7 linked regions of the Canis lupus familiaris genome follow. Each later gene encodes a partner of the first gene's protein in a complex. Links are inferred from orthologs where the notes say so. Each region holds a gene or a part of one and is shown on either strand. Other genes may lie near its edges. The genes, in order: RBL1, ARID4A, E2F5, MYBL2, TFDP1, TFDP2 and E2F4.

Region 1 (3,500 bases):
GTAATAAGATGTCAATACTAGTCAAAGCAATTTAGATTCAGTGCAATCCCTATCAAAATCCCCATGATGTTTTTTTACAGAAATAGAAAAATCCATCTTAAGAAAAATCCATCCTAAAACTCATGTGGAATCTCAAGGGGCTCTGGATTGCCAAAATAATCTCGAAAAAGAAGAACAAAGTTGGAAGGCTCACATTTCCCAATTTTAAAACACACTACAAAGTTCTAGTAATCAAAACAGTATAGGACTACCATAAACACAGAGATTAAGAGGACAGGGATGCCTGGGTGGCTCAGTGGTGAGTGTCTGCCTTGGCTCAGAGCGTGAGCCCTGGGGTCCCAGGGTTGAGTCCCACACATTGGGCTCCCTGCATGGAACCTGTTTCTCCCTCCACCTGTGTCTCTGTACCCCACCCCTGCCCCGTGTCTCTCTCATGGATAAATAAATAAAATCCTAAAAAGAAAAAAAAGAAATTACGAGGACAATGCTTAGAAAAGAGCCCAGAAATAAGCTGTCACACATATGGTTCAATGGCTTTGGAAAATGGTGCCAAGACCATTCAAGGGGAAAGAGTCTTTTCAACAAATAGTGTTGAGAAAACAGATGCAAAAGAATGAGGATAGATCCTCATCTTCTACCATATACAAAATTAACTCAAAGTGAATCAAAGAATTAAACACAATTGCTGAAAATATAAAACTCCTACAAAAAAACAGGGGGAAAAGCTTCATGACATTGGAATGCTCCATGATTTCTTGGATATGACACAAAAAGGAAAAGACAGTAAAATAAAACATAGACAAACTGAACTTCTTCAAAGTCAAAATGACTATCAACACAGAGAAAAGGAAACTCCTGGAATGGGAGAAAATACTTGCAGATTATAAACCTGATAAGGATTCTTATCCTGAATATATAAAGAACTACAGCTCAATGACAAAACTCAAATACAAAATGGGCAAAAGACTTTAATAAATATTTCTCCAAGGAAAACAGATGGCCAATAAACACATGATGGATGCTCAACACCACTAATAATTAGGGAAATGCAAATCAAAACTATGAGATACCACTTCATTCTGTTTTTCTTTTTTTTTTTTTTAAGATTTTATTTATTTGAGAAAGAGCAAGCGAGAGCGAGCATGAGCAGGGAGGGAAGAGAGAGAGGGAGAAGCAGACTCCTTGCTAAGCAGGGAGCCTGATGCGGGGCTCAATGCCAGGACCCTGCCATCATGATCTGGCAGAGACTTAACCGACTGAGCCACGAACGTGCCCTCCCCACTCTTCAGTCTCATTAAAATGGCTACTATCAAAAATAACATGGGACATGTGGGTTGCTCAGTGGTTGAGCATCTGTATTCCTTTGATTCAGGGTGTGATCCTGGGGTCCTGGGATGGAGTCCTACATCAGGCTTCCTGCATGGAGCCTGCTTCTCCCTCTGCCTTATGTCTCTGCCTCTCTCTCTGTGTCTCTCATCAATAAATAAATAAAATCTTAAAAAATAACAGAAAACAGAGTTGACAAGAATGTGGAGAACTTGGAACCTCATGTATGGTAGCAGAAATATAAAACTGTTTTTTTAAAAGAATTTATTTATTCATGAGAAGGAGGGGGGCAAAGACACAGGCAGATTCAGAAGCAGACTCCATGCAGGGAGCCCAATGCAGGACTCCATCACGGGACTCCAGGATCATGCCCTGAGCTGATGGCAGAGACACTCAACCCCTGAGCCACCCAGGCGTCTCTATAGCAGGAATATAAAATGGGGCTGACACTGTGGAAAATGGTATGACAGTTCCTCAAAAAATTAAATTCAGAATTACTATTCCACTTCTGGGTATATATACAAGAAAACTGAAAACAGAGACTTGAGTAGATATTTGTACACTAATGTTCATAGCAGCATTATTCACAATAACCAAATGGTAGAAACAACCTAAATGTTCATGTATGGATGAATTGAAAAACAAAATGTGATATATAAATACAGTGGGATATTATTCAGACTTAAAAAGGAAATTCTGAATGATGCTATAATATGGATGAATCTTGAAGACTTATGCTAAGTGAAACAAACCCTGTTACAAAAGGATGCATATTTGTACTTATATGAGGTACCTGGAATAGTTAAATGCATAGAGACAGAAAGAAGAATGGTGGCTGCCGGGAGCTGGTGGTGGGAAGAGGAATGGGGAATTATTGTAATTGGAACAGAGTTTCAGTTTAGGAAGATGACAATGTTCTGGGATGGATGATGGTGAAAACTGTGTATCAATGTGAATGTACTTAATGAAACTTTACTGTACACTTAAAAATGGTTAAAATGATAAATTTTATATTATGTATATTTTACCATACACACAAAAGAGAATGCTAAAGGTGCTCTATTACTCAATAGATGCACTGATTAAATGAGATCATTTTATTTTTAAATAATCTCTATACCCAATATAGGGCTCGAACTTACAACCCTATGATTGAGTCACATGCTCTACTGACTGAGCCAGCCAGGCACCCCAAATGAGATCTTTTGGATGCCATAAAATCACATACCTTTCTATAAAACAGTGCTAAAGAACCAGTTCTCTTTGGTTTGCTTATTCCAGTTGGATGTGCCTCTTGCGCTTTAGTCAGATGAGTCTGTTTCGGAGAAGCACCAATTAATGACTGAGCAGTAAGTGATATAGGACTCTCGACTTTGGACTCCTGAGCTGTGTTCATGGAAATTGGTATCAGTGTGATTTCTCCAGCATCATTTGCAATACCTAAACATATAAACAAGAGTTTTCAGTTTTAGAAATAAGCTGCATGTGTTCCAGAAAGGTTGTCAATTATCTTTAACTATCTATGTATAAACATAGGAATAGGTGAGAAAAGGAGAAGAAATCCACAAAAATATTAATTCTAGATTTTTTTTTTTAATTCTAGGTTATAACACCCTTGTTTTCTATTTCTGCTCTGAAAAAATACTGTTTTCTTTTGAACTCTAAAGGAGATGTTTTTAATCAAGAAACAAGATTTTTGCAACTCATTCATAAAGCTCAGATAAAAAAGTAAAATAGTCTTAACAAAAAGAATGGTAAATTTTTAAAATGTGAAAATTCAAAAAACCGTGTAAGTTCAAAACAAAACAAAAACAAAAGATGGAAACAGGATTTTTATGGCAATGACACTATTCTGTATAATACTATAATGGTGGATATGTGTCATTAAACTTTAGTCAAAATCTATACAATGTACAATACCAAGAGTGAACCCTAATGTAAACTATAGACTTGGGATAATAATGATGTGTCAATGTAGGTTCATCCATTGTTAACAAATATGCTATTCTGGTGCAGGATGCTGATGGTGATGGAAGCTGTGTATGTGTGGCAGTGGGTATATGGGAAACCCCTGTACCTTCTACTCAATTTGCTGTGAACCCAAAACTGCTCTAAAATAATAAATTAAAAAAAAATAGTATAGGTTCAAAAGAAACTGGGTTAAAAAGGCCACG
Region 2 (3,500 bases), on another chromosome or scaffold:
GTTATATGCACTGTAGGTGATAAACACATTTTCTTAATGAACCTAGAATATTAGTGTAAAGATTATTTCCTTTTGTAAATGTTAACAAATAAAAACTTAATTTTCCAGATTGATAGTGGTGCTGTATGGAAGCAAATTTATATGGACCTTGGCATTCCTATTTTGAATTCAGCTGCTTCCTACAATGTAAAAACTGCTTATAGAAAGTAAGTAGTATAGTTTATTCATCAAAGAATACATATTACAGGAATATTTTCCATTTAATTTGTTAACAATTAAACAAAAACACATCAAGGAACATTTAGTTAGAGAAAGTATATAAAAAGTTTTAGGTTAATAGATATTAGTGACTGAACGTTATTTCATCACACCAAGTCTACTTTATTCCATTTCTCGTGTTGTCTTGATTTCCTTTTCAAAGTCTGGGATGTGGTACGTTAATAGTATGAAACGATGATACATGTTTATAGAGTTATATTACTTATGTTGAATAGCCTTCATATCAAAACTATTATAGCTTTTTCAGGAAGAAATTTTATGATCAGTATTTCTGTTTATAATCCTGTATAAAGCACTGAGAAACTAGTAATAGAAAAAGTACTTTAAAAAAAGTCTCGAGTATTACTTTATAAAAATATGTGTGTTTAATAATATAGTATTTAAGTTAAATGTAAAGACAAAGATTTCTTAAAATGAAACTGTTTGTTTAGGTATCTCTATGGTTTTGAGGAGTACTGCCGTTCTGCAAATATTCAGTTCAGAACTGTCCACCACCATGAACCAAAAGTAAAAGAAGAAAAAAAAGACTTAGAAGAATCAATGGAAGAGGCTTTAAAAGTAGATCAAGAAATGCCTTTAGTGGAAGTGAAGAGTGAACCTGAGGAAAATATTGATTCAAACAGTGAAAGTGAAAGAGAAGAAATAGAATTAAAATCTCCAAGAGTAAGTACTTAATATTAGTTTTACCTGGTTTATTTTAAACATTAAATTTTTATTATGGACATTTTCAGATCCACACAAAAATAAGCCAGTGAACCTAGTTTATTTTCCAGTATTGAGTTGTGCATTAGGCAGACTAGCCTGGCTATTTTTTTCTAGATATAGCACATCTTCTTTCTTCTACCTAAAATACCATTCCTCCTGTTGTTTTCTATTTATGTCTGTTCAGATCATTCTCATCTGTGGTCAGTCTCACATATTTACTTCCTTCAAGTCTTACTAAAAGTCTCCCTTAGTATATAATTCCTTTGTAGAGATTGTCATCCATTGTTTTTGATCATTGTTGAATGATGTCTACATGGTAGGATTTATCAAATTTTAGGAGAAAAAATTTTTTCACACTATCAATGGCATTCATTTACTGTTACATCTTTTTTTTTTTTTAAGTTTTTATGTATTTATTTGAAAGAGAGAGTGAGAGAGAGAGAGAGGGAACAGAGGGGATGGGCAGAAGAAGATGCCCTGCTGAGCAGGGAGCCTGATGCAGAGCTCAATCCTGGGACTCCAGGACCATGACCTGAGCTGAAGGCAGACACTTTGCCAACTGAGTCACCCAGGTGCCCCTGTTACATCTTATTTTTTAGTGAAATCATGTTTAGTCAAAGAAGAAATGAAATTACCTCTTTTAGTTGCTCAGAAACCATTTTTTTAAAACTGTCCATTTTGACCATCATCCAGTAAATGGAATCTTCCAATGAATTTCATGAAACATTCAAATTGGTTTGCTTCATTTCTTTTTAATTTTTAATTTTAAAAAATTGTGGTAAATACACATACTATGTATCCTCTTAACCATTTTTAAGCATCAGTTCTGTGGCATTAACTATATTCCCAGTGTTTTGCACTCATCACCACTGTCCCTTGCCAGTACCTTTTTCATCTTGCAAAACTGAAACTAGCCATTAAACAATAACTCCCCATTCCCCTCTACCCAAGATTGTGGCAAAACCATTCTACTTTGTCTCTTTGAATTTGACTACTCTAGGTACCTCATATATATGGAATCTTACAGCTTTGTCCTTTTTTGACTGGCTTATTTCACTCAGTATAATGTCTCTCAGGTTCATTCCTGTGTATGTGTCACAATTTCCTTCCTTTTTAAAACTGAATATTCCTTCCTAAGACTGATTGTCTCCCATTATATGTATTTTGGACATACTTTCCTGTCATTAAAGATGTTCCTCATCTTTTGTAAATTATCTTCAGAGTACTACATAATATACATATACCATAAATTCACCTTCCTTAAAATTTTCTCCAATTTTTTATGATTACAAAAAGTGCTGTAATAAATATACTTGTAAAAATTCCTCCTCATTGGTCTGAATATAGAGGGAAGACTTCTAAGAATGGGATTTCTAGGGCACCTGGCTGGCTCAGTCAGAAGAGTATGTGACTCTTGATCTCAGGGGTGTGAGTTCAAGCCCCACGTTTTGAGATTACTTAAATAAGTAACTTAAGAAAAAGGTATATAGGTCTAAAGTCTGATAGATAGCAGTTGTTTTCATTCATTTACCTACACGTATTTAAAGAAAAGTTGCTCTGTGCATAGGATATAGAAGTATATAAGACCATCTCTGCCCTCATGGAATTTACATTCTAGTTCTTTGTGAAAAGAAAAATACACTTTTTTTCTAACTTTGAAGTTTATTTTTTTATTTTTTAAAGATTTTATTTACTCGTGAGGGACGGACAGAGAGAAAAAGAGAGAGAGGCAGAGACACAGGCAGAGGGAGAAGCAGGTTCCATGCAGGGAGCCTGATGTGGGACTTGATCCTGGGACTCTGGGATCTCACCCTGAGTGGAAGGCAGACACGCTTAAGCCCTGAGCCACCCAGGGGTCCCTAACTTTCAAGTTTATTTTTTTTATTTTTTTATTTTTTTCAAGTTTAAATAGCACATAGGAACTAGGGAAAACATTTGTTATACTGAAATACTAGTTGTTATTTTAGTACTCTCTAAGTTGTTGGTCCCCCCTTTTTTATTTTTAAAGATTTTATTTATTTACTCATGAGAAACACAGAGAGAGAGAGAGAGAGAGAGAGAGAGAGGCAGAGACACAGGCAGAGGGAGAAGCAGGCTCCATGTAGGGAGCCTGATGCAGGACTCAATCCTGGGACTCCAGGATCATACTCTGGGCCAAAGGCATGCACTAAACCTCTGAGCTACCCAGGGATTTCCCCCCCTCCCTTTTTTAAAGATTTTATTTGTTGGCCCCTTTTCTATCCTCACTTTATTCCAAGTAGAGGGAAACTGCCAGTGTGTAGCGGTGGACCTGAAGGAGAATTTAGGAGAGAATGAAATGGCTCAACAGTTTCACAGTCAGTTGAGCATACAAGAGGCTAAATGAAAGCTTCTGGGGAAGAACAAATTACTACCAGCCCAGTGAGCTCCAAATACTTATTCAAAGAAATCAGCTCACCTGTTGGCCATGGATGCATTTTAGTCCTTTTATTTTTAAAATTTATTTTTATTTTTTTTAGAGAGAGAGCAAGAATGCT
Region 3 (3,500 bases), on another chromosome or scaffold:
TCCTTTGCTCTGAGAAGTCATTTTTTTATTTCTGTGACATCTAAGGACCTTTGAGAGGGAGATGAAAAACAGTGCATATTGCTCATGGAGCAGAGCTTCTGGAAGGGAAAATATTGATGGGGAAAAGGATGTTATCAGCAGGAGTGGACAGTGACCAGATAGACCTCCAAATCGAGAATCTTCCTGAGTCATGGTTTAGGGAATTGGGAATGGCCAAAATCTTGGAAAGCAGTGCAGCAAAGTCCGAGATCAACTAGTTCAATGGTTTTTGTATCTTGGGGCACCACAAGGCACAGCTTGAAAACCCCATTGTTATCAAACTGTTAAGGAGCTTTGATTCATAGAAAGGAAATAGCAAATGAGATCATGGACTTATTCAACAGATTACAAAACAACATAAAAAATTAGTTGTATACATTAGTCAAAATTCATGAGAAGTGGTAGGAGATAAAGGCCATTAAAAAATTCCATAAGAGTATGCATAAGTTTACAAATCAACAGAATCATTGGTATTTAAGAGAACAGTGATTTTTAAGAAACACATGAAGTAAACGCTAATTTTTTTCCCCAAAGTAATATGATAAATACATAAGCCTTGGTCCCCAAACTCAAGCAGGTACTATCTTTGAGTTAATATTAGGCAGAAAGTATCCTGGATTGATTGCAGGCTCATGATATTTTATTTTTAAGTAAATATTAATTTTTCAAAACTTTCAGAACTACTGAATTTTTAACCACTTCAGAACACTGAGCATAATTATTTAAATATACCTATACATTTAACAATGACTTCTAATATTCAGAAACCCCCATGCACACTTTAGCTAGCATACTGCATCCTATCAATGAGAGATTGAAAGTAGATGAATTTTTCTCAATGCAACACAAGAATGTTAATAGATGTATTATGTACTTTAAAAAGTAAAAACTTTTCAAATGTTAGTATAAATTACTAGAATAATATAAAATTAAAATATATTCACTTATAAAACTTTTTTAAAAAACAATAGAATAAAGTAACTGATCTTCAGACTGGAAAATATATAAATACAAATTCTACAGCTATATGTGTAACTTATTTATTTATTTATTTTATGTGTAACTTATTTAAAAGGATATCTATTATTAATGGAGTCGTCCATCACATTTTTGATGCTTTGCTGTAGCCACAACTTCTGCTGATCAAGTTCTCTTTCCTTCAGTTCTAGATCTTCAATTTCAGCTTTAAGATATCTTAATCTATCTATGACTTCTTTAGTATTACAGCCAGCACCTACACCTCTTAAAAACATACAAGAATTAGTATTCCCAGTATCAGGCCCAGGTTAACATCATTTACTTTTTATAGTAATAATAAAAACTGACTTAGTAATTTATTCAAAACAAAAATCTTTGTAATTTTCTAAAAATCAAGCATTAAAATCCTTAGAAAACTTAAACATCGTACCTCTGAATATATTTGCTTAGAAAATGTATCAGCAAGAACAATCAGATTATCAAAATTCTCAATGTTTTTGCCATACAGAAAATGAAAATTTTTATAAAGTCAAAAAAAAAAAAGTTTTCAGTATGCCCTAGAATGGTGCTTGTCCTCTGAAAGGCCAGGCTAGTGACGGGCACCAAAGGGGTGTCAGAGCTAAACAGTCACACCTGGAAGTGTCAAGATGTAGACTGAGATGCTGGTAAAATAAATTACCACCTTTTAATATTTTGGTGAGATTCTGGCTTTAAAACAAAACAAAACACAAAACTAAGGCCAAAGGGGACAAATCTGCAGAACAGAAAGGATTTTTTACATTCAAACATACAACCATACAACAGTTAACAAATGACAACATGCATTTCGATCAACTTACTATATATATGGTACACATTCCTACATATAGCATGTAGTTCCTGATCTTAAGGAGTTTATGTTAGCTGGGCAGCTATACACTTAGGCAGAGAGGGATTAATAATACAAAGCAGCATGCAGTGTGTGCCAAATGAGCATCCTGAGGGAGAAAATAAGTTGTGAATGTTCAGACTGTAAATCAACAGTGGACAGAGCAAGGCAACATGCCAACACAGGAGTGACACATACAGAGGCCCAGAGCGGTGTGCAGGGAAGGACAAGGCGCCTGCCTGGTGAGACCAGGGGGCCAAGAGAGAGGATTTAGGAGAGCTAAACAGGTCAGATCTTACAGAGCATAGGAAGAAAAATAAAGGTTTTAGACTAGGGTGCTGGTTTGTGACTTACTTCCATTGTATACTGTTTTTTGACTTTTTTTCAATCAGGTCAATTCCCTCCAAGACATTGGTGATATCATAAATTCTTCTCTTTTGTCTCACAGCCAGAGTATCTGCAGCCTGTTTTTTAAAAAGGGGGTGGGGGGGCAAAGCACAATGAAATAAAGGACAATTCGTATTTTAAAGCCAAAAAAAGATTAATTATTAAGTTGACAGCATGAGAGCCCAATCCCAAATTTGACCTGGTCAGTTGCTTGGGAACAATAGCTCTGAAACCTAGCAAATACCAAAGAAATTATTCCATTTAAAAGCCAGCAGATGTTAGAGTGGGGAAAAAATATATGAAATATTAAAGGTCGTGACACGAAGCCCGCAAAAATAAAAGAACACAGTAAGAATACTTCATGTCATCTTATGGACTAATCCCAAGGAGGAGCTACTAATTGTCTACCCGTGTCACTTCCTATTTTATTTCTCTGTTCATAAACAGTCTCGTCTAAAAATAGCAGCGGTTTGGTGCCGCCTGCAGCCTGGGGTGTGATCCTGGAGACCCGGGATCGAGTCCCACGTCGGGCTCTCTGCATGGAGCCTGCTTCTCCCTCTGCCTGTGTTTCTGCCTTTCTCTGTGTCTATGAATAAATAAATAAAATCTAAAAAATAAAAAAATAAAAAATAAATAAAAATAAAAATAGCCTTGTTTTTTCAACTTTGGAAAATTACATCTCAGCAACCTGTTAAATAATTAAGTCTAGATACTTGGCGGGGGGGGGGGGATTCTATATTATACATACATTTGTAGAACCTTGAAATGTACTATCTACATTTTTTAAATTCACAGTGAAAATGGAGGAGTGCATCATGCCATCCCAACACAAAGCATAAAATCAACAAGAAATCAGAATCTATGGCGCAAAGTCATGGTGCCAGCAGATACAATACGAAAGCTTGGTAGTCTGACTCAACAAAAGTTAGGTCAAGAAGAATATTTCATGCTATCTAATGATACGAATAAAATGCAGGAATATCATACTGTTTCTCTAACTGGTTCCCACTCACACTTGGGAGCTTCATTCTACCTAATGCAATAGACAAAACCTTAAAAAAGAGGTTATCCTACAGCTCTTTTTCAGGGGGAGTTAGACAATAACCTATCTTGAATGTGGAGTCACATAATAAGAGTCATGGTAGTAATGAAAAACACATTTATGTCCTTACTGGCAAAGCTCAGCACGTTACCCAAATTAATGAACAGAATTTAGCTTCATATAATG
Region 4 (3,500 bases), about 5.7 Mb from region 1:
GTATAGAGTAGTATAGTAGTACAGAAGCCCAAAGCAGTGGGACCCCTGGGTGGCTCAGCGATTGAGCATCCACCTTTGGCTCAGGGTGTGATCCTGGGTCCTGGGATCGAGTCCCACACTGGGCTCCCTGCATGGAGCCTGCTTCTACCTCTGCCTATGTCTCTGCCTCTCTCTGTGTCTTTCATGAATAAATAAATAAAAATCTTAAAAAAAAAAAAAAAAAAAGGGGGATCCCTGGGTGGCGCCACGGTTTGGCGCCTGCCTTTGGCCCAGGGCGCGATCCTGGAGACCCGGGATCAAATCGCACGTCGGGCTCCCGGTGCATGGAGCCTACTTCTCCCTCTGCCTGTGTCTCTGCCTCTCTCTCTCTCTCTCTCTCTCTCTCTCTGTGTGTGTGTGTGTGTGACTATCATAAATAAATAAAAAATAAAAAAGGAAAAAAAAAAAAAAAAGAAGCCCACAGCAGTACAGCTATAGGACTGCACAGCAGCAGTAGTATAGGAGTAGCATGGTACTATAGAAACACTCAGCAATAGAGCTGTAGGACTGCACGGCAGCAGGAGTACACAGCTATACAGTAGGACAGCACTACAGAAGCCTCAGCAGTAGAGCTGTAGGACTGCACGGCAGCAGGAGGACACAGCTATAGAGTAGGACAGCACTATAGCAGAAGCCTCCGCAGTAGAGCCGCAGGACTACCCGGCAGCCACAGTACAGAAGCACCGAGTAGCAGAGTACTAGGAAGGCACGAGGCAGAGTACTAGAGAACAGGGTAGTATAGTACCACAGCAGCACACGGGAGTATAACAGTATACAGCACATCATATATACAGAAATGCAAGCACACAGTAGGCACTTCCTTCTCTGGGAGTCCAAGCAGAGTGCTTTTCCTCTAAATCGTGAACAGACATGATGAACAACAGCCGGACTGACCAAGCAGTCAGAGGAGAGGGTCTGTATCCCCGAACACTCCCGCTGCAGGACAGAGTGCAGACCAGGCAGGGGTATGGGCAGAATGAGGTTGTTGCTAGGGGATCAGCCACAGTCGGAAGAGAGATACACCCCACCAAGGGCTGAAGGAGTGTGTTGGCTCCACAATGGGCACAAGCAGAGTGCATCTCAGGCCAACAGAGGAAAGCAGAGCAGCTAAAGCCCCATGGGTAAGCAAGAGTCACAGTACATCAAGGCCAGGCTGGTGGCATCAGCCAGTGCAAGCAGGTCACAGAGGGAAAGAGACCCAGGCCTCTAACCCAAGTGCTAGGAGAAGCACCAAAAGAATGACACACTCAGGTTTGAGTTTTGAATCTAGACCATTTCAGACTTCAGAGGAGATACACCATCTGGCATTTTGTCTCCTCTCCCTCCAGGACGACAGTGTCATGACCAAGGATTAAAAATAAAACTGGGGTGCCTGGGTGGCTCAGCAGTTGGGTGTCTGCCTTTGGCCCAGGGTGTGATCCTGGAGTCCCGGGATCTAGTCCCACATCGGGTTCCCTGCATGGAGCCTGCTTCTCCCTCTGCCTGTGTCTCTGCCTCTCTCTGTCTCTCATGACTAAATAAATAAATAAATAAATAAATAAATAAAATCTTTTAATAAAAATAAAACTGAGGGGATCCCTGGGTGGCTCAGAGGTTTGGTGCCTGCCTTCAGCCCAGAGTGTGATCCTGGAGTCCCAGGATCCAGTCCCACATCGGGCTCCCTGCATGGAGCCTGCTTCTCCCTCTGCCTGTGTCCCTGACACACACACTCTCTCTGTCTCTCACGAATAAATGAATAAAATCTTAAAAAAAAAAAAAAAAAAAAAAAAAAAACTGAGTAAGGGGGAAACACACAAGGACAAAGTGAACAGTAGCAAACAGCCACAGATAAGAAACAAATAAGAGATTTTTGTAAGTTTCCAGAGGATGGACAGCACTTAAGAGGAACAATAAGCAATTTAGGAGAGGGGAATTGACTCTAGAGGAAGATTCTGGCAAGAATGGAGCCAAGTCTTCCAAATACTTCCCCAGAACCCCAAGAGGCTCTTAGAGGGACCAGGCACAGCAAGGAGTAGGGGGGAGAAAGCAGTGGGTTTGAATATCTAGATCCTGGCCCTGATCTTGCATGTAGGAGAAGACAAGTTTATTCTCTAGAGAAAAAGGACCAGGCAACCCTGGCAGAGGGTAGGGATGGTCCACAGAGCTCCAACGGGGACAAAATGAAAATCTGTACACAAAGGGTACTCCCTGTCCTGATCCCAAACTACCTATATAATCAGGCACGGGCACCCCTAGGCAAGAATCTGAAGGATTCATTCATCTCTGGGAAAAGTGACAACTGCAAAGAAATCGGACTGGCTCTTGGACTATCCCCCACAATAGCCCAGTGGATGCCCTCACTTCCTAGGAACATCCACGCCTGTCCTGGCCCCTAGATGGCAGCTCACCTCCCTGGCAGCATCTTGGCGATCTCAGCCCAGCGGTTGCCAAGCACCTTGTGGGCCTCACAGATGATGCGGTCCTCCTCCTCAGTCCAGCAGGACTTCTTTACCTCGGGGTTGAGATGGTTGTGCCAGCGCTCACGGCACTGCTTCCCCAGCCGGCCCTTCAGGTGCTTGGCGATCAGCGTCCACTGCTTTGTGCCATACTTTTTGACCAGCTCGATGACCTTGGAAAAGGCCTCTGTAAAGCCAGGGGAACCCACCCCTCCCTCATCCCCATCACAGCACCTTCCCTCCACATAAGCCTCATCTCACCACAGCCCTGAGAGGGCTGGCTGACACCCTTGCCAACCCCCAGACAGCCTCACCATCCCTTGATTCACTGGGGTGGGTGAAGGCCCACCGCGTGCCGATAGTTACCTTTTGGTCCTCCTCTTTGGTCCATGGCCCTTTGACGAGGTCTGGATTCAAGACCCTCAGCCACCGGTACTGGCACTGCTGGTCAGTGCGGTTCTAGGAAGAGGACAGGAACCTGTGAGGATTCCTAGGAGAGCAGCCTTGGACCCTGGCTGAGCACTGGGTTCAAGGGGCCAGGCCTATCTCACACAGGTTTTTTGTTTCCTTCACCCACCACACACTATACTCCCACAGGTTGGAACGCACATGCTTTCCCTGTAGGAAGTTTCCCTTCCTCCTCCTCCCCTCACAAAGAGACAACCATCAGGAACCATAAATTCCTATAAAAGCTTGTGGTGTATGTCAGGAATCCTTCCTTGCCTCGGGAAAGCATTATTTCCCTGAAAGTTTCAGATCTCATGGAAACAGGGAAGGTGAGGGATGGGGTAGGAAGGGTCTGCTGATGTGACCCGAGGTGCCGAGTGACTCAGGGAATAAGCCAGACAGCAGCTCCTGCCACATCCCCTCCCTACCAGACACCTGCAGTCCTAGGGGTGGGGACATGGGGGACCTGCATCCCCAGGAGGCTTCAGCTGCCCTGGGGGGGACCTCGGCAGGAAGCCTGCTGTAAGTATCACTTCCTCTTGGTTTCAACCTCACTGCTGAGACTAATGCAAATGTGCC
Region 5 (4,075 bases), on another chromosome or scaffold:
CCTTGAAGCGAGGACCTAGCTATAGCAGGAGAGTGACTCAGTGCCCCCACAATGACAGCAGCACCTGTCAGACAGCCCCAGACACCCCCCTCCCCGGCACATCACCGGCGCTGCCAGCTCCTCCTTCCCACAGCCCCAAGGGCTCCTCAATCCCATAGATGTGGCCCTGAAGGCCCTGTCCACAATCCTTCACACCAGAGCAGATGCATGAGTGGACGCTGGACAAAGACCCGATGAGAACAGGGCCTGACTGCCCTCACGAGTCTACCCCGGTAGGACTGGTGGGACCCAGCATCTGCCCTGATCTGGTGCCACTGCACGTGCCGCTCTGGCGCTCACTGGCCGTTCACTGGAATGCCAAGAATGCTGCCACCCCTGTCCCATAGAGATGGCGCTCATGGTTGGCACAGCAGTGGCACAACCCTAGCAACCCTCACAACCCAAAGCAAGAACCAAGCTGGGAAGCCCCAAGTCCCCCTGGGGAACACCCAGTCTGACTCGAGCTATAGGTCAGAGCAGCCCGTCCTCCCTGGAACAGAAGGGCTTCATCTTCCCCCACCACGGGCTGCCTGCAGTAGCACCCAATGGGCGGCCTGGGCGAGAAGAGACCAGCACAACCTTTTCTGGAAAAGTCTGGGAATGGATGAAGAGGCCAGTCCCTACCAGTCTCAATGTCAGGACCCAGAGCTGAGGAGCCACTGGAGAACCAACGGACAAGACATAAAGGAAGGCAGCTGCAGAGCCCAGAGGATGAAGGAGCCACACAAGCACTGGACAAGAGACAGGTCCCCCACAAGTATCAGGTCTGCTCCGTGATACCAGGAAAACCCTCACATGAACCCTGAGTGCTCATGCTCGGTCAGATTCCTGTCTCTTGTACTCCCAAAGAGCTCGTGTAAAAGGGGGGCTGGGAATTTTAATATGGGCGGTGCACCCACCACCTGTGCAGCAGGCCGGGCCCAGCCTCACTCTGTCCCGTGAGAGCCCAGTGATGGGCAGTGGCCAGGCACAAAGCGGCTGCAACATCCAGAGCATACTGTCCCAGCAGCACGAGTCCAGATCTCAGGCTGGGAAGACCCTGTCTGACGCAGTTTGCCCTTCACTGTTAGACCAGCAGCACACAGGCCACCACCACCAGACGCTGGCAGCCCCCCAGGTGCGACAACGCCTGGAGGCTATAGGTGCCATTTCTGGAAATGCACTGCCTCTGATGGGATCATCTGCCCAGAGCTGCCAGGTCAGGAAAGACACACCTGTCTTATTCCCAAGCCTGGTTTTCAGTTCGGAGCCTAAGAACCACAGGACAACAAATCTGACCTAGAAAGAAGCTAAGCAGCTGGCAACCAGCTCCTGTGGACGCCTACACTGTCCACACTCAGGACGGTGACCAGTTTACCCCACAGCAAGTCTTCCAGACACAGAAATGATCTGTTTGGAGACAGAACATGCGTCAGAATCACAAGAGGTGCGAGCTTGTTTTTCACTAACAAAATGAGAAAAACAAAAACACTACTTTTAATGCTCTTGTTCACGGGTGATGTGGAGAACAGCTTGTACCCCAAGCCTGGGGGATGGTGACCAACATATGAGACAGAACTGGGAAACCACGGGCCCCAGGCACTCTGCTGGGGCTGGGGCGTCAGGCTCCAGGAAATCGCCACACCATCAGGCAGACCTGTCCTCGCCTGGGGGCGAGGTGGGAACAGAGATGGCGAGATGGTATGCTGTGTCCCACTGTGGGTCACCAGGAGAGGTGACAAGGCCCGTGGGTACAGCTGCCGTGGAGGCCAGTGCTTTGGGTACACACTTTCTGGTGGCTGCAGAGCCGGGCAGTGTCTCCACTGCAACCCAGCCACTCCCAAATTCTGACCCACAGAAACCCTGCAGGAGAATAAACATTTACTATTATTTTAACCACTGAGCTTTGGGGTCCTTTGTTTCACAGCAATGACGACAGTGGTCAATCGTTTTGCTACAGAACCTAAGGGAAAAAAAATGCTTCTTTTCATCAACTGGGAAGTCATTCAATATATTTCTGAAACAAACTTTAACAGTAGCACACAGATTTGGCACAAATTTCCTGGTGTAAGACCACTCATTGCCAATTATCAAAGACAAACAGCCATGACCAAAGTAACGTATCTAGGTTTCCTGACCTCAGACAACAGCACCTGATGAGTGCGTCCACAAGGAGCGATGGCCTGGGAGTAAGCGAGCCCTGTGGTGCCCGGCTGGCAGGATCACCGCTGACTACTCAGGCAGCAGAGGCCTGGCAGCTGCGATACCAAGCAGGACACTCCTGAGGCCAACTGGCTTCCCTGTACGGATGACCTACACTGGCTCCAGTGCTGGTTCATCCTGCCCAACTGCCCACACTCACAGCACAACACAGTTTCCACACGAAGCCCAGGCCCCACCCAGCTCGCATCCCCCAATTCCGCTCTCTGTGGAGAGACACACTTGAGTGCAGCAGGCTGTGCAGGTCTACTTCATCTGGAGGTGCACAGCCCACGAGGGCTGCACCCCTCCCGTGCGCAGCAGGTACAGTGGCCCACGACAGCAGCAGAAGCGTGAGGACAGAGTCTTTATACTCAAAATGCAAACCTACCCTCCAGTAAGAAAAACACCAAAATGCTAAATTTGTGTTAACACATAAACCAAAAGCAGAAGCACTCGTGTGCCACAACTAACCGTTTTTCTTACAAACATGGCATTCATCCTTTCATGTTTGTGCTACATGAAAACAAAACCAGCTGCTATGTTCTCATGTGGGCAACGAGGATCCCGCTCCCACAGAAAGTCACCAAGCCGCCTGGAGAGCTGAGCCAACTGCAAGGGCAGACAGAAAGGGGATTAAGACCACTTTAGATGATTCACAGAACGAGCCAGAAGTCACCAGGCTCCAGGCTTCAGAAAGTCCACCCATGTCCCTCCAAGCGCCCTCTACCCCCCACAAGGCGCGAGGGCCACAGCAAGGCCCTGCCTCATCCTGCCGCCCACCCTGGATCTTCCTCCCCCTCCACCCACCCCATCATCGCCCCCTACCCCCATCCTCTCCCTGAAACACACCCCATGAGACAGACTCCCTCTGGGCGCCCGCATGACAAGCAGGACAGAGCCCCAGAACTCAGGGCCCGTTGGAGATGAAGCCTGTGACAGGGCAGCAGGGCGCAGCTCCCGGTGGGAGGGGAGGCCAGGGCTGCCTCACTGCCCCCCTCCATGGGCAGGCCCCATGCTTCCCACCACCTCTGCACACTTTCTACTTCCAAACAGGTTACCTACCACGGAATACAAGTCCCCACGGGGGAACAGAAGCCCCTTAAGGCAGGACAGAGGCCTGGGCAGACAACCCCCATGGCAAGTCCAGATCGAAGCGGTCCCCCAGCCCGGCACGGAGGCTGGGAAGGGCTGAGTGGTGGCACCCAAGCAGCCACTGTTAAGTCTCAAACAAATGGCAAGACGCTCCAACAGAACTTCACCTCCTAGAAGAGGCAGTAGGCTAGTCATTCAAAGACAGAAGCATGAAAGCACCCAAACGGGGCCAATGAACGGATGGAGAGTCAATGAGGACATGGAAACGTGGAAAAGCCAGCAGAGAAAGAGAAACCTACACACAGATCTCCTCAGGGACAGTCACACAAAACGTGGGGCACCTGAAGGAAGCTACAAGGGCCTTGAGAGAGGGACCACCCTCCTCTACTGACCTTGCCCCCAGCCCCCAGTGATACTCCTTACAGGGGCCCCTTTGCACACGCAGCGGTGGCCAGCACCCAACCACAGTATCAGAAGCACGTCTGGGCCGAGGGGGCATGGAGTGCTGCTGGGAGTGCCGGCAGGAGGCAGACACAGTGCTACCAGCAGTGATGGGTGTGGAAGAGGGCAGTGGAGTCCTTCCACAGAGGCCAACAGAGACACCAACTCCCAGGAATCACAGCACCCACGGGGCCACACAGGAGACTCCCTGGCTCCCTGATGGATACACGCCACAGCCACGGGGCAGAAACCTCAACACTGCAAATCATACCACAGAATGCCAAACGCTGCTCAACACCTCCCGTTTCAGGGGGGACCTGCA
Region 6 (3,500 bases), on another chromosome or scaffold:
AAAAATTAAGTTCAGAACATTTCCTCATCTCTAATTCAATTTAAAATTGACCACCTAAAGCAAAAATCAAGTTAGTATATTCTCACATTACTTTATAGTTTCATAAAGGAAGTCTGGTGTATAAATATGCATTTTTTTCTCTTTTAGTAAACGAAGCAAAAAAGGAGATAAAAATGGAAAAGGCTTGAGACATTTTTCCATGAAAGTATGTGAGAAAGTTCAGCGGAAAGGTACAACGTCATACAATGAAGTGGCCGATGAGCTGGTATCAGAGTTCACCAATTCAAATAACCATTTGGCAGCTGATTCGGTAGGTAGATCATGCACTTGACATTGACTATGATGAGTGATAGAACAGTGTATCTCTAGGTTGACTGTGTCTTTTTTTTTTTTTTTTTTTTTTTTTTGACTGTGTCATTTTTTTAAGGACTCAGACAAGCTAGGGAATCCCCAACTCCTTTACGTGAGGGTTTCATATTGTCTTTTGGGGAATTCTTCTGTTGAGTTTTGTTTTAGAAAGGGTTCTTTTATTATCTATTTAAACATAAAGATTAGCATGTATTTTTTAAATATACTTTGGGGAGTTACAAAAGGAACATACTTTTTTAAAAAGATTTTATTTGTTTATTTGAGAGCACAGCAGGAGGAGCAGCAGGCAGAGAATATTCATAGAACATTATAGACATATTTATGGAACATGTAAGTCCTCTTTTTAACCACAGACCTTAATCTTTCTCCACAAAGGCATATTCACTATTACCAGATTCTTTAGTATCATCCCCAAAGTTCCTTAGGCATACACATAATAAAACCTATTCCCTATTTTATTTTATTTTATTTTATTTTATTTTATTTTATTTTATTTTATTTTATTTTATTTTATTTTTAAGATTTTGTTTATTTTGGAGAGCTACAGAACAGTTCTGTCACTCCCAAAAGGTTCTTTCTGCCTTTTGTAATGTATCCCTCCTTCCCTCCTTCTCCCTCTATCCCTAGGCAATTGCTGATCTGCTTTTTATCATTATAGATCAATTTGCACTTTATTTAAATGTGATCATATTATATATACTCCACAATTCTTAAAATAGTTCTTGACCTTACTGGAAATATGTTTAATATTCCAATCTTAATTATGACAAGGGTTTTATTTTGAAATGATAGCATCCATAACTTGATTTTTTAAATGAATGTTTCTTTTTTTAATTTTTTATTATTTATTTTTAAGATTTTATTTATTCATGAGAGACACAGAGATGCAGAGACACAGGCAGATGGAGAAGCAGGCTGCCTACAGGAAGCCCAATGTGGGACTCGATCCCAGGATCCTGGGACCACACGCCAAGCCACCCAGGCATCCTGAATGTTTCTTTTTTCTTAACTAAAAATAATCAGAAATGGATATTTAATTTATTCCAATTTTGTGTAGTTTTGAAAATTTGGGTATTTTACACTGACAGTCCTAAATGAGATTGATGTAATCTTTTTGTTTTTACCATCTTTGCAGTTGTTTTTTTTTTTTTTTTTTTTTCCATCTTTGCAGTTTTGATTTGCAGTGTTATGCTGGGCTTTTTAAAATTTAGAGGGTTTTTTTCCTTCTTCCACTTTACTCCATTATAGGTTTAATAGCATTAGATGTGTATTTTGCTTCCCTGACATTTTATAGAATAGAAATCACCTCTGATACCATCTAGGCATGGTGATTTGGTGGGGGGTAATGCTTAGATAGCATTCTCCATTTTTACTTTGGTAATTAGCCTGTTTAGAATTTTTGTCTCCTTTAGTATTTTATGGTTTCTTAGAAAATCCTCCATTTCATACATGTTCTTAAAACTATTTGCAATTATTTTTCCCAAAGAACCATCTCCTAAATTTGTATGGACTCTTCTGTTTTGTAGTTAATTTCTTTTTTTTTTCCTATGTTCATTTAATAGTATCTTCTCTTTCCTGAAGTTACTTTTGTTATTTTTCTATCCTGTAGATTATGATATATACTTTATTTACTTTGATTATTTTTGTTTAGTAATGAAAATGTTTTTTTTTTTTTTTTTATTTATTTATTTATTCATGAGAGACACAGAGAGAGGGGCAGAGACACAGGCAAGGGAGAGGCAGGCTCCTCACAGGGAGCCCGATGTGGGACTTGATCCCTGGACCAGGGATCACACCCTGAGCCAAAGGCAGACGCTCAACCACTGAGCCACCCAGGCGTCCCAATGAAAATGTTTATAGCTGTGACTTATCCTCATGTGCACTGCTTTAGCCATTTCCCATTGATTCTGATATATTACTCTTTAAATATTCTGCAACTTTGGTTTTAGTTTCCTCTCTGACCTAAGAATGGCATTAGAATTTTTATATTTCCAGGTAATAGGGATTTTTTTTGTAAATTGAACTATTTATATATTTTTTAAAATTGCTTTGAGATTTTTCTTGTGAGCCATTATTTGGTAATGCATTTTTTTTCTTTTCTCTGGCACCTGTAGAGAAGGTATGTCGCATTCTGATTCTGAGTGAAAGTGGAAATTTTCAAAATGTTCTACAAGACCTATATGATCTAGCCCACCATTACCTCTCTCATCTCATCTCCTACTAGGAACTCTCCCAGTTACTATACTCTAGCCACCTTATGATAAAAGTTTTATCTTGAAATTATAGCAACCATAACTTGATCTTTTAAATGAATATTTCTTTCATTTTTCTTAATTAAAAAATTCAGAAATGGATATTGAATTCAATCAAATTCTGTGTGTTTCCTGAAAATTTAGGAGTTTTACACTGACAGCCATGAATGAGATTGGTGGGTTTTTGTTTGCTTTTTGTTTCGGGGTGAATATGCCAGGTACGTTCCTTATCAGACTGTTAGACTTGCTATTTCCTATGTCTGAATCTCTGCTAAGGAGCCATATGGTTTCTCTCTTCTCTCCAATTTTTATTCAGATGTCACTGTACCGAGGCATTTCTTCTTAACACATTTTATCATCTAATATAAATTTTAACTTACCAACCCCATCCTCATCCCTGAATACAAGCAAGAGTTGGGGGTTTTCTGTCTATTCACTGCTGTGTTATTTTTTTTTTATAAATATATAAATTGGAAGGTTTGTAGTCTTTAGTTCTTTAACTGGTTATCTTTATAACTTTAAGTAACTTCAGTATTTTGTTTCTTTTGTTGTTACCTATAAACCAATATCTGTTGATTATGAAGGGAAAAAGTTAATATGCTTCTATCTACTTGCATGTCCCATCTTTTGTCTACCACAGATACAGATTGAATATCTTAGTGGTAGTTGTTAAAAGAGTAATATTATTACAGTTTGTTTTTATGACTTTAAATAAATATATTGTGCCAAAACCTGTGTTACTATTTACTTCATCTGTTTAAATAGTTAATCTGCTTTGAATCCCATACCCCTTAAAATAGCAAGGAGAACACGAGCAAGCCTATTTTGTTGTCTCCTCCTGGTATTTTTTTACTATATTATCATTATTTCCACAGTGCC
Region 7 (2,862 bases), on another chromosome or scaffold:
GGCTTCAAAAGTGGGGGCAGTGTCTTCCCAGGGGACGTGATGTCATTTGCCTTGAGTCTTCTTTTTATCCTGCGATTTGGGTATTCGCTTCTAGGACTCGTTCTCCTCAGCCCACAAGCACCAGTCTCTTCTCACTGACACTGTCCTCTGTGTTCCCTCTCTCACCTTCACTGGGTCCTTAACTGAAACTAGCTTTTCTCTGTCAGTGTGTACCCTACTATTGGCCCTGGTCCCTCAGGCCTGACACCTGCACATCATTCTGCTTCCATCTCCTCTTCGCTTTGCATTAACTGAGTTTTGTCTCAGACATCTCCCATCGCTGCCTTCATGTCCTCATACTCAGGGTCATTACTGGCTACCTCTGTCCTGAATTCTTCGGCATCTTCCGCTCTACCCTGACTGATAGGGTTGTCTGAAACACAGGTTGTGTGTGCCATTTCTGAGTTTACAGAGTACCTCCAACAGCTTCTTAAGGGCTGGTGGGTAAGAGCAGAGCCCCCTCACCTGGTATGTGCAGTCCTCGTGCACCAGCACTCTGCTAGTTTAATTTTCCCCTGCTCCACACGTGTGTCCTCCAGTCAGACCTTTGTAGCAGACTTGTCACCCTGTAGCACCAGCGCCTATCGAATGTCTGCCTGCTTTGCCAGATGACCTGGTCCCGGGTGTGGTCGCTGAGCCTAGCATTGAGCAGGTGCTCAGCAAGGGCAGGAGTGAGTGGGGCAGCCGCCATCAGACAGGGCATACCTACTGAGCCCGTGAAGGGAGGGGTCTGCTGCCTTTCTGCAGCACTTCTGAGTTAGAAGGGCCGTATCAGTCACCTGCGATGAGCCTTTAGTACCCTGGGTACTCAGGAGTTCACATCTAGCCAGGGAGACTGACAACGCCAGCTTGGCCTGGGGCATGCCCTCCACCTCCAGCTGTGTGGAGCCCCAAGATGGGTGGTAGATCTGAGGAAGGTGGGGGCTGGAATGGGACCAGACTGGATCTCTGTGCCCTCCAGCATGGCTTTCTTGTCTTTCAGTTCTGGAACTCCCCAAAGAGCTGTCAGAAATCTTTGATCCCACAAGAGGTAGGTCTGCACTCTTCCGTGGGGTAAGGGTCTCATGGTTGTTTTCTTGCACTTCTGAGGCCCTGTGATTGCGTTTGGTACCTGGACAAAAAGTTCTTGATGGGGGGGTGGTGCGTGGAGGGCCCTCTTCATGGGCTTTGGTGGGTGGAGAGCCAGGAGCCAAAATGTAACCCAGCTTTTCCTCCCTCCAGAATGCATGAGCTCAGAGCTGCTGGAGGAGCTGATGTCCTCAGAAGGTGGGTGGCCCAGGAAGGTGGAGGGTGGGGGTGGGAGTGGGGGCTGGGCAACTGCTGGGGGCTGTGCTTGGCCCAGGGCCTCAGCCTGGTGCTCTCTGCAGTGTTTGCCCCCCTCCTCCGCCTATCTCCACCCCCCGGAGACCACGATTACATCTACAACCTGGACGAGAGTGAAGGTGTCTGTGACCTCTTCGATGTGCCTGTTCTCAACCTCTGACTGACAGGGACATTCCCTGTGTGGCTGGGACACAGACTGTGTGACCTGGGGGCTGCCTGAGGACCTCCCCTGCTCTACCCCTACACGGCTTGAGAGCCACAGACTCCTGGCTTCCCCAGCCTTCCCTCACTGCAGTTCTGATCAAAACTCCCACTCCTGCACGAGTAGAGCACCTGTACCGTGCTAGGAAAGCAGGGGAAAGGGGCTCAGCCCCCTTCACCATGGAGCCAGAGCGTTTGCCTCTCCTTTTCTGGGGCTTTCCCCCACCTCATGCCCTCTCCGAGCCCTCTCAGAGCCAAGGCTCGGCTGCCACTCAGTGGCACAGATCTGAAGACCTGCCATCATCCCCATAGGGCAGCTTGTCCAGCCCCACTGCCCTGTTCCAGCCAACGCCTCCCACTCTGGGGAGGAAAGCTGAGGGTGGAGCCAGATGCTTGCCAGCACCACTCCGAGCCTCCTTCCCTTCTCCCCACCCCTGACCCTGCAGCTTCCCCTAGACCTCTCCTGTGTACCCCTCATCTGCTGGACCTTTAGCTCTGAGTACCTATGGGGGCGGGGGGAGGAGAATGGCTGTCAACCAGAAGGAACAGAGAGGTCTTTAGCTAGAAATCTGGGCAGGTGAGCCCCTGAGGATTGGCCCAATCTCCTGCTGCCCTGTAGACCAACCCTCCCTTCTTGTTTATTCATTTACCCTCATTTAGAGCCATTTGCAGAGATTTAGAAAGATTTGCAGTAACGAATGGATTCCTATATAAAGATTATTTTTATACTTTTTGCAGCAAAAGAAAATTGTAATATTTGTACAGTATCCAAGTGAATAAAAGACCATGCCTAAGGCTATCTCTGATCTGGTTCTTTCAGGGCCCCTCCCTGCAATTCTGCTGGATTGGTGGTGGGACCGGGCGGGTCACCTTTGTTGGAAAGGGAGGTGTGGCTGTTGCGGTATCCCGCCCTCCCCGCCCCCACCTGGCGCACCTAGGGGCGGGGCGGGGCTGCCGGGGCGGGGCAGGGCAGGCGCCTTCCCACGGGACTCCAACCCGGAACTAGTCTCGGCTCCCTTGGGAAGGCCGCGGCCCCTGTCCAGGAGCCGGAGCCTGACCCGTGAGTGCGGGCCACGGGTCCAGGCCTTGGACAGAGGGACACCCTCGTTCTCGGAGGCACCAGACCAGGCGCTTCCTTGGCCGGACGTTGGACGGTCTGGAAACTACAGGCGCTCCTGCTCCGGCTGGACCATGGCGCCCCCGCGGAACGTGGTGAAGATCGCGGTCCAGAAGCCTGACGCCATCCCGCAGCTCATCCGACTGGACCAGGTCACTCGGCCTGTCTGGCCTCCATTCATC

Evidence for each region.
Region 2: the proteins of RBL1 (region 1) and ARID4A are in contact, whole or in part, in a crystal structure (PDB 7SMC), measured with the Homo sapiens proteins. The link is inferred for Canis lupus familiaris from reciprocal best matches to the Homo sapiens genes RBL1 and ARID4A. Residues at the interface, in NP_002886.2 of Homo sapiens: Tyr849, Ile850, Lys853, Val854, Thr860, Phe861, Gln862, Met865, Lys866, Arg869, Tyr879, Arg880, Asp929, Leu930, Ile931, Tyr934, Asn935, Val939, Ala946, Leu947; in NP_002883.3 of Homo sapiens: Leu957, Val958, Cys959, His960, Glu961, Val962, Asp963, Leu964, Asp965, Asp966, Leu967.
Region 3: the proteins of RBL1 (region 1) and E2F5 are in contact, whole or in part, in a crystal structure (PDB 5TUV), measured with the Homo sapiens proteins. The link is inferred for Canis lupus familiaris from reciprocal best matches to the Homo sapiens genes RBL1 and E2F5. Residues at the interface, in NP_002886.2 of Homo sapiens: Ser1000, Ala1001, Leu1002, Leu1003, Tyr1004, Lys1005, Phe1006, Asn1007, Ile1017, Met1020, Ile1021, Gly1024, Glu1025; in NP_001942.2 of Homo sapiens: Met162, Ile190, Ala192, Pro193, Ser194, Gly195, Thr196, Gln197, Leu198, Glu199, Val200, Pro201, Ile202, Pro203, Glu204, Met205, Tyr213, Leu217.
Region 4: RBL1 (region 1) and MYBL2 share a complex: the UniProt entries of both Homo sapiens proteins name them as parts of the DREAM complex. The link is inferred for Canis lupus familiaris from reciprocal best matches to the Homo sapiens genes RBL1 and MYBL2.
Region 5: the proteins of RBL1 (region 1) and TFDP1 are in contact, whole or in part, in a crystal structure (PDB 5TUV), measured with the Homo sapiens proteins. The link is inferred for Canis lupus familiaris from reciprocal best matches to the Homo sapiens genes RBL1 and TFDP1. Residues at the interface, in NP_002886.2 of Homo sapiens: Tyr1004, Phe1006, Asn1007, Ser1011, Leu1014, Ile1017, Asn1018, Ile1021; in NP_009042.1 of Homo sapiens: Pro260, Phe261, Ile262, Thr290, Phe291, Glu292, Ile293, His294, Asp295, Ile297, Glu298.
Region 6: RBL1 (region 1) and TFDP2 share a complex: the UniProt entries of both Homo sapiens proteins name them as parts of the DREAM complex. The link is inferred for Canis lupus familiaris from reciprocal best matches to the Homo sapiens genes RBL1 and TFDP2.
Region 7: RBL1 (region 1) and E2F4 share a complex: the UniProt entries of both Homo sapiens proteins name them as parts of the DREAM complex. The link is inferred for Canis lupus familiaris from reciprocal best matches to the Homo sapiens genes RBL1 and E2F4.

What each region holds. Positions count from the first base shown.
Region 1 is NC_049245.1:26,287,936-26,291,435, forward strand, and holds part of RBL1 (retinoblastoma-like protein 1), read right to left. Parts: intron 2,767-3,500; coding exon 2,555-2,766; intron 1-2,554. UniProt on the Homo sapiens protein: Key regulator of entry into cell division. Directly involved in heterochromatin formation by maintaining overall chromatin structure and, in particular, that of constitutive heterochromatin by stabilizing histone methylation.
Region 2 is NC_049229.1:33,999,709-34,003,208, forward strand, and holds part of ARID4A (AT-rich interactive domain-containing protein 4A), read left to right. Parts: intron 1-108; coding exon 109-206; intron 207-710; coding exon 711-942; intron 943-3,500.
Region 3 is NC_049250.1:32,350,466-32,353,965, reverse strand, and holds part of E2F5 (transcription factor E2F5), read right to left. Parts: intron 2,350-3,500; coding exon 2,240-2,349; intron 1,282-2,239; coding exon 1,120-1,281; intron 1-1,119.
Region 4 is NC_049245.1:31,976,504-31,980,003, reverse strand, and holds part of MYBL2 (myb-related protein B), read right to left. Parts: intron 2,934-3,500; coding exon 2,841-2,933; intron 2,648-2,840; coding exon 2,427-2,647; intron 1-2,426. UniProt on the Homo sapiens protein: Transcription factor involved in the regulation of cell survival, proliferation, and differentiation. Transactivates the expression of the CLU gene.
Region 5 is NC_049243.1:61,025,366-61,029,440, reverse strand, and holds the start of TFDP1 (transcription factor Dp-1), read right to left. Parts: upstream 2,801-4,075; 5' UTR 2,719-2,800; coding exon 2,692-2,718; intron 1-2,691. UniProt on the Homo sapiens protein: Can stimulate E2F-dependent transcription.
Region 6 is NC_049244.1:38,314,548-38,318,047, reverse strand, and holds part of TFDP2 (transcription factor Dp-2), read left to right. Parts: intron 1-147; coding exon 148-310; intron 311-3,500. UniProt on the Homo sapiens protein: Can stimulate E2F-dependent transcription.
Region 7 is NC_049226.1:82,754,895-82,757,756, reverse strand, and holds the end of E2F4 (transcription factor E2F4), read left to right. Parts: intron 1-1,021; coding exon 1,022-1,069; intron 1,070-1,260; coding exon 1,261-1,305; intron 1,306-1,406; coding exon 1,407-1,522; 3' UTR 1,523-2,362; downstream 2,363-2,862. Other genes in the region: ELMO3 (engulfment and cell motility protein 3), read left to right, coding at 2,755-2,832. UniProt on the Homo sapiens protein: Transcription activator that binds DNA cooperatively with DP proteins through the E2 recognition site, 5'-TTTC[CG]CGC-3' found in the promoter region of a number of genes whose products are involved in cell cycle regulation or in DNA replication.